Linked DNA regions of Neodiprion lecontei. The protein of the gene in region 1 binds, or shares a complex with, the protein of each later gene. Links are inferred from orthologs where the notes say so. Each region holds a gene or a part of one and is shown on either strand. Other genes may lie near its edges.

Evidence for each region. Proteins that work in one complex are often made in the same cells at the same time.
Region 2: the proteins of cold shock domain-containing protein E1 (region 1) and polyadenylate-binding protein 1 are in contact, whole or in part, in a crystal structure (PDB 7ZHR), measured with the Drosophila melanogaster proteins. The link is inferred for Neodiprion lecontei from reciprocal best matches to the Drosophila melanogaster genes Unr and pAbp. Residues at the interface, in NP_648226.2 of Drosophila melanogaster: Leu843, Glu844, Thr845, Thr846, His847, Asn848, Gly849, Val850, Glu870, Ile871, Leu872, Asp873, Glu874, Thr878, Val879, Ile880, Ser881, His883, Leu902, Ile907, Asp908; in NP_476667.1 of Drosophila melanogaster: Asn184, Tyr186, Lys188, Ser211, Lys213, Met215, Phe225, Phe227, Ala229, Tyr255, Ala257, Arg258, Ala259, Gln260, Lys261.

Annotation. Positions count from the first base shown.
Region 1 is NC_060261.1:6,944,360-6,949,618, reverse strand, and holds the start of cold shock domain-containing protein E1, read right to left. Parts: upstream 3,094-5,259; 5' UTR 2,984-3,093; intron 2,958-2,983; exon of another isoform or gene 2,861-2,957; intron 2,799-2,860; exon of another isoform or gene 2,779-2,798; intron 1-2,778. Other genes in the region: selenoprotein K-like, read left to right, coding at 3,668-3,686, 3,775-3,856, 4,645-4,743. UniProt on the Drosophila melanogaster protein: RNA-binding protein that acts as a regulator of dosage compensation in both males and females.
Region 2 is NC_060264.1:21,286,540-21,291,721, reverse strand, and holds the start of polyadenylate-binding protein 1, read right to left. Parts: upstream 3,322-5,182; 5' UTR 2,571-3,321; coding exon 2,366-2,570; intron 1-2,365. Other genes in the region: putative nuclease HARBI1, read right to left, coding at 4,913-5,182.

The sequences.
Region 1 (5,259 bases):
TTTTTTTTGCTTTAATGCTTCATCATCGTCTTAAAACACGCCACTATAGATAGGATGTCTCTGGAAATTCGAGCGCAATAATCTAGATCAGAAAATAGAAATGAACTGAATGAACGGAAAACACGATGATTAGCGGCGATATGTTTTCAGAAAGCATTAATGTAGAAATGTGTGTACTGTTTTAGCTTGTTGACAGTGTCAGTTCTCACGTTGGGTAAAATTTTTTGTCTGTTTTGATGGAACACTGAATTCCTACCATTTTAGCATATGCGACACACGGTATAATAATTCACACGTAGTGTCTGTTAAAATCATGTGCATGTGGGATTTGTGCATAAAGTCAAAAATTTATGTTTAGATAATACAGTGTCGAAAATTGTCATATGATTCACGTTGCTGATAAAATAGAAAAAACAGTACTTGATGCATAATCAAAATTTAGAAGTATTTTGAGTATTTCAGACTGACTTAAAAAAATGAGTGGTTCTGAATAAATGTGCTCAAATTACAACGTATTGCTAGTCACACAGAGTGATGTGATTTGAGCTGTTCTCTAATTGACATGGTGAAAAGAATTTATGCAAATCTTTAGAACACGAGTAGATAAAATTAACGTTTACGTACACTGAATTAAACGTTTTTATAATGGACCATGCCTATGATGAATCTGAGCACGAAAAATTGGATAAAAGTCAGAAATAAAACAGTAAATCGAAAAACAGTTTTGAAAGCTTAGTATTGCCTGAAATTCAGTAAATTGTAATAAAGCAAGCTAAACTCATATTTTGCAAACTCAGCCTCTTAAAAGTAATTCTGAGGTTGCAAAAAAATGGTTTAGAGAGAATAATGTTTCATTATGTTGACTTTACAAACTTCATCAATTATTGTTTGTCTAACTTTCCAGGAATGGGATTACAGGGTTGCCCCTGCTTTTCTGTTACACAATTTTCTAATATTTCTAGTAACTCAGTGCTTGAAGTTTTTCAATTTTCTAAGTACAGCGTCGGTTATGGGGGTGTAGGGTATGATATTTCTAAGAATTTGCATACCTCCACTAAAGAACTTGAGGTAGATTTATATCGCTTTGAACTGAGCCTCTCGCAATAGGGCCATCAAAAATCTGTAAGGGCTATGCTGTTTTCTTCCAACAATTTACTTTCATTGCCGGCCGTATTGCGAGAGTATCTGGCAAAACTGTGGCTACGCTATATTCAACTGGAATAGTGGGAAATCCTGCTGAGGGAAGTGGCCCTATTGCGAGAGGCACTATCGAGAGAGTCGGCTATACGCTATTCCTTTTCTACACATAATAGAGATATTGTTGCCAAAAAGTGATTGATTGTTACAATTTGATATGGTAAATTTGTGTAGGGGAGGGGCTGAAAAACATTAATTTATGATTCCTGTTGCCAAAATTTTAAGGAATAATTTTGCCCGTTCATTTAAATTTTAAACATTGCTGACAAAAAACAGAGTTAATCAAGAGTAATCAAAAAACTGAGATTTTTCTGTGTTCAGTAATTGCAGGTTAATTAGACAACATTTATAGGAAATAAGTAACTTCTATCAGCTTATTATATCGACTGGATCTTAAACATGAAATATCTTTACTCATTCGATATGGCAAACATTTGAAGATAAAAACTTAAATTTCCAGATTTTCGTGAACAGAAATCTCTGATTTTTTGGCAATAATTTACATTATCGTCGACGAATATGATGAGTGAATCTTACAAATTATACCAGTAGTAACCTGAATTTCGAATCTAGGTAAACAAACGTACTTAAGTGACTGATTAAGCAATGGGAATGGTCATCATCTAATATGAGTTGCATGAAGTGTTCTAAGTTTTTGTAAATTTAATTCAATCTTTGCCGAGATGTCTTGATACATGAGCGCCATCAAGGACCACTTTAAACAGGTTTGCATCGAAATTTCGCATATATATAAGTGAATGCAAATATTCAACTTAGCCTATTTTGCTTGCTCCAATGACATTTCAAACACAAGTAATATAAAAAAGAACCTGGAAATGCACTTTGCTCTTGAATTCAATTTGAAATAAAGTATTAAAGGAACTCTCAATAGATTGAAAGCGAATGTAGGTTGGCATACTGTGCTACTTAGAACAGTATGAGCATCGTCATCGTTTGAATCTTAGACAACATCAGTGACAGATGGTATTATCTTTGAAGCAGATGATACATTTATTTAACAACTGTGAAAAGTGTATTGTTTCACCAATTCTCTTTCTGTCAAATGTAAAATGACTCAATCTATATTACCAAACATTACTCATTATCAGAAATTATTTAATTTGTTATACATTCAAGCCAATGAAATAGTAGCAACAACATTGCGAAATATTTGGTAGATTACAAGAGCTTGTCGTGAATGCAATGTTTGCAAGTTATTTGGTAATGGATATGCGGGCTACGCAACTGACGTGAACTGGTAGTGATTAGAAAAAAATGTAAGTAAATAGGATACGTTACTTTCGGAGTACTTATTGGACATGCAAATCATTTGACTCATTTGATAAACTACAACGTGCTTATCAAGCACAAAACGCTATAGTAACTGTATTAGTTTTAGTAGCTGTATAAGAAATTGGAGCAAGCAGTGTCAACCTGGCCACAGAAACGGTGTATGATTGACCTCACACGAAAGTACGTTAGTAAAATGTCCATGATGGAACGGCAGTTAGTCAGTCAGAACAATTCAATTTAGATACGCGTATGTTGATTTATAGTCGAAAGTTTCACAAAATATTGTACCGATGTATGTGTTGTGTGTGCTTCATTGTGGAGTATTTAGATTTTTTCTAACTACATTCCGTTAATTGGTATATCATATTACTTGATTTGTATTGAGACTCGCCGCAGCGTTACTGAAGAGTACTAAAAGTTGTATAATAAAACATTGTAAACTAGATTTAAAGTAACGAAGACACATAATCTTAAATTTTTTTACAAAACTCACCACGACACAGCACAGCACTGACGACATGCCGCCATGTTGAATGTCAACATTTAGCATTCACATACAAAACAAGAGCAACTGCGGAGAGATTCGGAACCACAGCCTTCTTGAGATACATCGATTATCCAGGACCCAAAGAGTATGGGATAGAGTGGATGCCAGGACCCTTGAAGTGTATGAACACTGGTGACGTCGGCGTAAACATTTATGGACAAATTGATTAATTAGATTTAATATTTTACGGCTACTTATTCTCGATGTTAGGTGGCCGTGAGCCAAAACTTTCAAGAGCTGAAACTCTGATTTAAAAAAAATAAATGAATAAGGCATTGTAGTTTACCTGATTGTAAAGTTGCATTCATAAATAATAGTGTTACTTTTGTTGGAGTACGCTGATTATTTATTTCACGTTTCAATCAAATTTGAATTTGAATTTTATGACTTTTTAAAGCCTTAACTCGCAGTCACCAGCGGGACGCTGTGGATACCAAACATGACGGATCCGTTTTGCTAGTGATTCTACTACATGCATCGAGTAAGCCATGAAGTAACTCCCGCGTGGCATCATCCCATTATTTCTACATACGAGAGGTCACCAATAGTGGCAAATGACAGCAGGTGACGGAAAGACGTCGCTGAGAAAGTGATAACTGACAAGTGTTCGCGAACCTCCAAGAGTGCGACATGGCTTACGTTTCTCAAGGTAAACGATATATTGACAATTATCGAAAATAAATATTAAAATGTCAAAAACCCAAATATAACGTAAAAAATTTTATACCAATTCTCAGATGGATCTGTGCTCCAGACTGAACCCTGGCCGCGTAGACTGGTTTCATTTTTTTTGGGAATTTTCTACATGTTTTTCATGTTGTAAGTAATAATGACATTAAGCATCCTAAGAGCCCCCCTTTTTGAATAGAAAAAACCCATCTAACCACTGCAAACGGATAGTAGGTAGGCCCACTTTTGGAACGTTTGTGATATGATTATTAACAGGCCCGAGGAAACTGTTTCAAGTTAATTCGTCATTCTGATCCAACGGTAAACTTTTGATTGAAAAACAGAATTTTTTATAAATTACAAGTGTGTAACTTCCCTTGACAATATTTTGATCCAGCCAATACTCGAGGTTATGTTCTGCAGCTAGAACATGCTTTAATTTTGTTTATCAATCAAGAATTGCCCTATACCATTTATTACCAGCATGCAAAAAAAAGTTTATGTAGTACAGAACTCTTATTCATATTTTTATTACACACCTGCTATTAAAAACAGGTGTGCAAATAAATAAATAATTGCATCAAAAGAATCGCTGTCAAACCTGTTACATTCTTCAGAGGTATTGAAGAAAGCAAAATCCATTGACAGAATTTTGTGACCTCATACTTAGATTCACAATCCGATCACTGCCGATATAAATTAACAATTAAAGACAGTTAGGTACGTCCATCTCAAAATTTTGAATGTGATATAAATAGAAGAAGCTATTTCAATATATTTGGTTGGATACTTTCATTCTTTGAATGGTCACAAACTTTTAAGCCGACCAACAATGGATTCCTGTGGTACTATAGTTGGTTACTGATATAAATTTATATTATTAATTCTGAATGATACGAGTATAATTTCTCATGATGATAGAATTTATATATTTATAGTTTCAAGTCATTCGTCAGCCCTGTTTTAAACGCTGTTGGAACATCTGAGGATTCGTACAATCAGGGCACATACAGAAGGGACTACAGGCCTGGCTCAGGGTACATTACAGTATTTATTTAGCTTAAGACTTTCTATCGTTATTAAATTATGCTATGTACAGTATGCTTCAGTAAAATGAAATGGATGATGCAATTCAAAGTTAAGAAAAAAGAATTATACTTTTTGTAAATTATGTATGTATTCATGGCATGTTCGTACACCATAGTCGTGGTACTTTAACATCACTACTTCATGCACAAAAGCGTGTTATTAATCACTTTTATTGCAATGAATATTACTCTTATTACACCAGTTTAATGAAATTTAAGATGATCGATTGTATCAGTTGACTGTGATCTAGTGATTGACTTGTTTTTTTTATTGGCCATGTTTATACTGCATTGATCTGATACAGAACAGGATTAGACAATCAATGTAGGCAAAGCAGAGAATTTATTTTAGAATCTTCCACGTGATTGGTGAACTAGAACTCAATGCAGACAAAAATGACTATTTATTGTCACTCATTATCTGAATTAACAGAATTACACATTCATTTCGAACAAGATATGCAT
Region 2 (5,182 bases), on another chromosome or scaffold:
GCAATGGATCGATTTCTGGGTCTCCAAGTTTTACCAAAGAGTGTTGAAATCATGAAAATTGATTGTATGTCACCATTGGAGAGTAATTTAAATAAACTGTAATCAGGGTAATTTTGATCAGTCAAGAAGGAGTGAAGAGATACTTCAAAAGAAATCACCCGTTATATTCCAGATGTTTGAAATAGGCTTGTAGAAAAACAAGGAAAACTTTCCAAGTTAAAAAATTAGTGCTGATACCATTGGAAATAAGAAATTAATCATCTATCAGACGTTCAAATGGCTAGGCATTAGTGCTTAATGAATAAGAAAAATAATAATAATAATAATACAAGATCCAAGGCGAAATGCGGAAAAGAAATAAAGGAAAAAACCTACGCATCTGTTCACACAGTGTGCGCAACTTATACATATGGAGCATTCCACATACAATTAGCCTGTACCTCAACCCCTTTGATTTTAATCATTTTCGAGTATGATATTCTTACCGACTCGAAAGGGTCTCCGAATTTTGTTCTCATTTTTGTAGCATAATTTTTTTTTCATAATATTGTAAAAAAAAAAATAAAATAATTAAAAAACCAATTCTAAGATCACCATTTTCAAAAATCTGAATAAATTCATAGATTCTATGATTGGAAATGTGATTTTTAAGTACCACACGAAAATCAATATATACTATTTTTGTCGAAAGGTCCTACAACTGATGACTGGGGTCTGAACACACCTCCAGGCGAACTTTGAACTGCGCTCAGCGCCACTATCGCTACATGGTTATCAGTTTTTGAATATATATATATATATATTAGACTGTATAAAAAAAATCGACTATTTTTTTTTTGAAATTGAAGCTGAAAATAGATGCTGTTTAAGTATCGGCTCTTAATATTAATATTCGGAGGAGCCTCATTGCAATTTTCCATTTCCCATTTAAATAACATTGGAATTTTTTTTTTAAACTTCAAAATTTTATGACTCATCAACGCATTAGTGTATTGATAAGACCAAAACGTATGTTTGGAAGGAATTGCATGCTTCACAAACAAAGGTCTGTTATCATTTTATGATAAATTTACTCTGACAAAAGTTATTTAATGTCAAAGGTCAATAAAGGACCTTATATATACTTACATTAACATATGCACACACAAACACATATACATGCATGTGTGTGTGTGTAACAATTTCGACATGGAAAAACTAAAAACTTGCGCAAAAAATAGTAAATATTGAGATCCCACTATCGTGTGATGCTTAAAAATCACATTTCAAATCATGGAATTTCTGTGAATTGTTTCAGATTTATAAAAATGGCTTTTTTGGAATTTATTTTGCAATTTTTCGTAAATATCACCAGTGGCTGTAGAAAATCAAAAAATTCCCGAAACTCTTTTGGATTGGTAAGAACATCACATAATAACTAAAAATGATTAAAATCGAAGGAAGTGAGATACGTTGGCTGCTAATTTAACGTGGAATGCCCCATATACATGTAACGTCTGTGGCATACACGAGTGGGTCACGTGACATATCCACCGGCGACCGTTCGAATTATTGTTATTCATTCCGCGACACGCATCAGGCATTTCTCTTCTTTCTTTCTCTCGGATTATTCTCCTCGTCGATATCAAGCCGTGTAGTCGCCAGCATGCGAAGTGATTGCTGAATTAAGCAGCACGCATAATTATATAAGGCACAAGCGGGATCCAGGGGCCATAGTACATCGCCATTCATTTCCTGCATTCTTGTTATGGCTTACGGAATTCAATCTGTATAAAACTCTACACTTCATGAACGAGAGTTCGCGATCGGATCTATTAATTTACCCGCAAAGTGTGGATAATTTTTTTCAATACTTAAATTGGAACCTCAGATAGAAAACTGCAATGCTAATTCCGCATTCTGCTTATGGCTTGTGGGATTCAGTCTGTAAAATTTTCATTCCGTCAGCACAGGTTTCGCAGTCCGGTATGCTCACGAAGTGTGAATTTTCGTGCATAATGAGACACTAGTGGCATAATTTCAGTTCTCTTGGACCGGTAAACGGTTGATAAACGTCATATTGACGAATCAGAAATGAGGACAGACCAGAAAAAATGGCGCAACGGCTGCTGCATCCTGCTCATGACTTATGGAATTCTATGTGCAGAGGCCGTAAGGAGGGAGAGTATAGGAGGTTAACAGGGAGGGAGGAATCGACGCCATTGTGGGAGACAGAATAAAATCCAATATGGCGGACGAAAACGACAGAATGCACGTGTCACGGCTTGGAAACGGGATGAGGACGCGAAATTTTCAGGAAATCTGGGACGGACGGATAGCCTCGTAGGTTCTACAAAACTACGAACAACAATCTAGCGTCAATTACCGAAATACTGACCGTCGGCTGGCTGCTGGAAGTTAACGTATGCGTAGCCAAGGGAGCGGCGAGTGATCATATCTCTGCACACGCGTATCGACAGCACTGGGCCTGCCGATGAAAATTTTTCAAACAGCATTGCTTCGGTTATATCCGAGTGCAGATCACCGACGTACAGCGATGCCATCGGATAATTAGGCGCTCCTGGATTCATTTCTGTTCACTTTCTTACTTATCACGATCGTACGATACTTCTCGCCTTCAATATGGCTTGTTATTTGCCCGTGTGATTTTTCCCCATGCAAATTCTCTCCAGACGTTTCTTTTCTTCCTTCTATCAGCAGCTGGTATCAATGATTTTTTCACCTTCTTCTATATGCTGTATCAAAACCAACAAGGATATTTATTAGGTGTCTTATTTTATTACCGACTTTTCTTGGCCTTGGTTAATCTTCTTGATTTTAATAAATTTAATTTCCTTCCTTTTGCGAATTTTGTATATTTTTAGATATTTTTAGATTTTCTTTTTCTTATAATAAAACGCAAATAATTGTCACACACACGTTGTCTTGTTTTATTTCCGTTTCCTTCTTCTTCTTGTTAACACCTTTATTGGCTTCTTCTTTTTTTTATTATTTTCAAATCTCTATTTTTCCCTTCTTCACACAACTTGATATATCAAGGTGTTTATATCTTTTTTTAATATCTTCACAAGTTTCGCGATTTTCACACTACGGTTTTACGATTTTTTTGTTTTTTATTTTTAAAGATTTTTTATAGATTTTTTTGGGGTGGGGGATGAGGATGAGGGTTTTTTTAGTAGTGGATTTTTTGTTTTTTTTGTATTTTATGTTTTTTTAATATAGAAGAGTTAATTCACGAATGGAGGTGGGTTGTGTGACCTATTTTTTTTAGGAAAAAGGAGACACAACCACACGTGAAAACAACTCTACTCTTAATGACGAAGAGGCAGTCAGGCCGTCCGCGTCACAGTTATATACGAAACCGTAGAACGCCATTTCCTACGCCGACAAGTAGTTCCCCGATACGCACAAACCTGGAATAGTACGGTATTCAACGGTAAAAATTTATCTCGATACAATTGTTAATGCAATTGGATTTGTTTTATCAGTTTTCCATCAACTCTACAAGCATCAATAAATATTTAATCCCATTTCAATCGACTCGCGTCGTATCCAAAATTCGTCGCTATTGGCCACGCGACTGTTACGCGCTTGTTTTCAGGTACTATTTTCATTTTCACCGGACGCTGTATGCTTGCGGCGCGGAGATAATTACAGTTTCCTACGCCTACCGACTTGATAAATGAATTCGGAATCATGGTGAAAATTCAGTCAATAAATGAAAAACATTGTAATTTCCATCGTATCTGCTATATCAGCGAAAATTCGCCACATTAAATAGGCTGTTGAAGAAATTGTCCGATAAGTTGTAGCCACCCTCAGTAATCTTCAGGCAGCTCACAGCTGTCGCGTCTAGTTAGGCATCGGAATTCACAGCAGTCATGAACTACGCAGTGACGCAAGAATGTCTGTTAAAGGTGTTCCACAACACCACGGCGAGAAAAAGAAATACCAAAATGGCAAAAAAAAGCAAACGGAATCTAAGGCCCGTATTCATAGTCAGGTCTCAAGGCGGTGCTTAAGACCGTCTTGGTGAAGATCGTCTTATTCGTTCAAGACCGTCTTGAGATGCTATGTATTCATAGTCGGAAAACAAGACGGTCTTCGTCAAGAATTTGGTCTCAAGCGCTAGCTTATTTCATTCAAGACCGTCTTGACGAAGACTGAGCTTGAGACGGTCTTATTCGACGTTCGGTTATGTTCGGAATATTTCCGATGTATCCCCCAATAAGATGCTCGGATTTTATTTCTCAGCCTGTGCAAGATATTCGTATAGGCATGCAGCTCTTGAGTATTTTTATAGTTTATGAACACAACAACGTTAGCGCCACGTAGAGGAACTAAAAAACGGGAACAAATCGCGTACAATTTTTTGTAGTGGGTGTATAGCTATAAAACGAAGAAGAAGAAAAAGAATTTTATAGTGTATGTTTATGTGTATATAATTTTTATATACACATATTTTAACCTATATCATTATGTAAATCTCTATACCGGTTATTGATAAATAAATTGTATTGATATGTTAAAAGGAATCCCGGTGCAGACTTGCAAAAAAATGCGCGTGAAAGGGACAACCTTTGATCTTCAAAGTTCAAAAGAGCAACTTTAGTTCTATTTACTGGCTGTATTTATAATGTATTGAATATTTTTACGTAGACAAATTTTCATAAGTATTATCGTAACTATAAGACTGACGCTTAGTACAATTACGTACATATCAGTATTTTCATGAGTAAGTGAGGGGTTTAAAAATAAAATGAGAACCAATGATAAGTTATGAGTAAAATATGTATTCTAATGTTAACTGTTTGTACAGATTAAATTCAATTTTATTAAATATTTGGAGTATATTCATTCTAAAATCAATTAGTCTTTACAATTAAATTAACTTGATATACATATATTTTGATTAAATGAATAACCGTTCGATTAGAGCTTCGCGTATTGCAAAACCCTCTCCAGGCTGCCAATGCGGTGCTTGAGGTGGCAATTCATCCGCTTCTTCTTCCTCGATGCGATTATCTTCCGGAAGAGCATTATCCAATGTTAGTGATAAATTGTGTAGTACGGCACAAGCTACAACAATTGTGGTAGAGCACAACAATTTGGTTCCCAAACCTCGGGATAGGCAAGGAAAACGTCGCTTCCAAACTCCAAATGTTCTTTCAACAATTTGCCT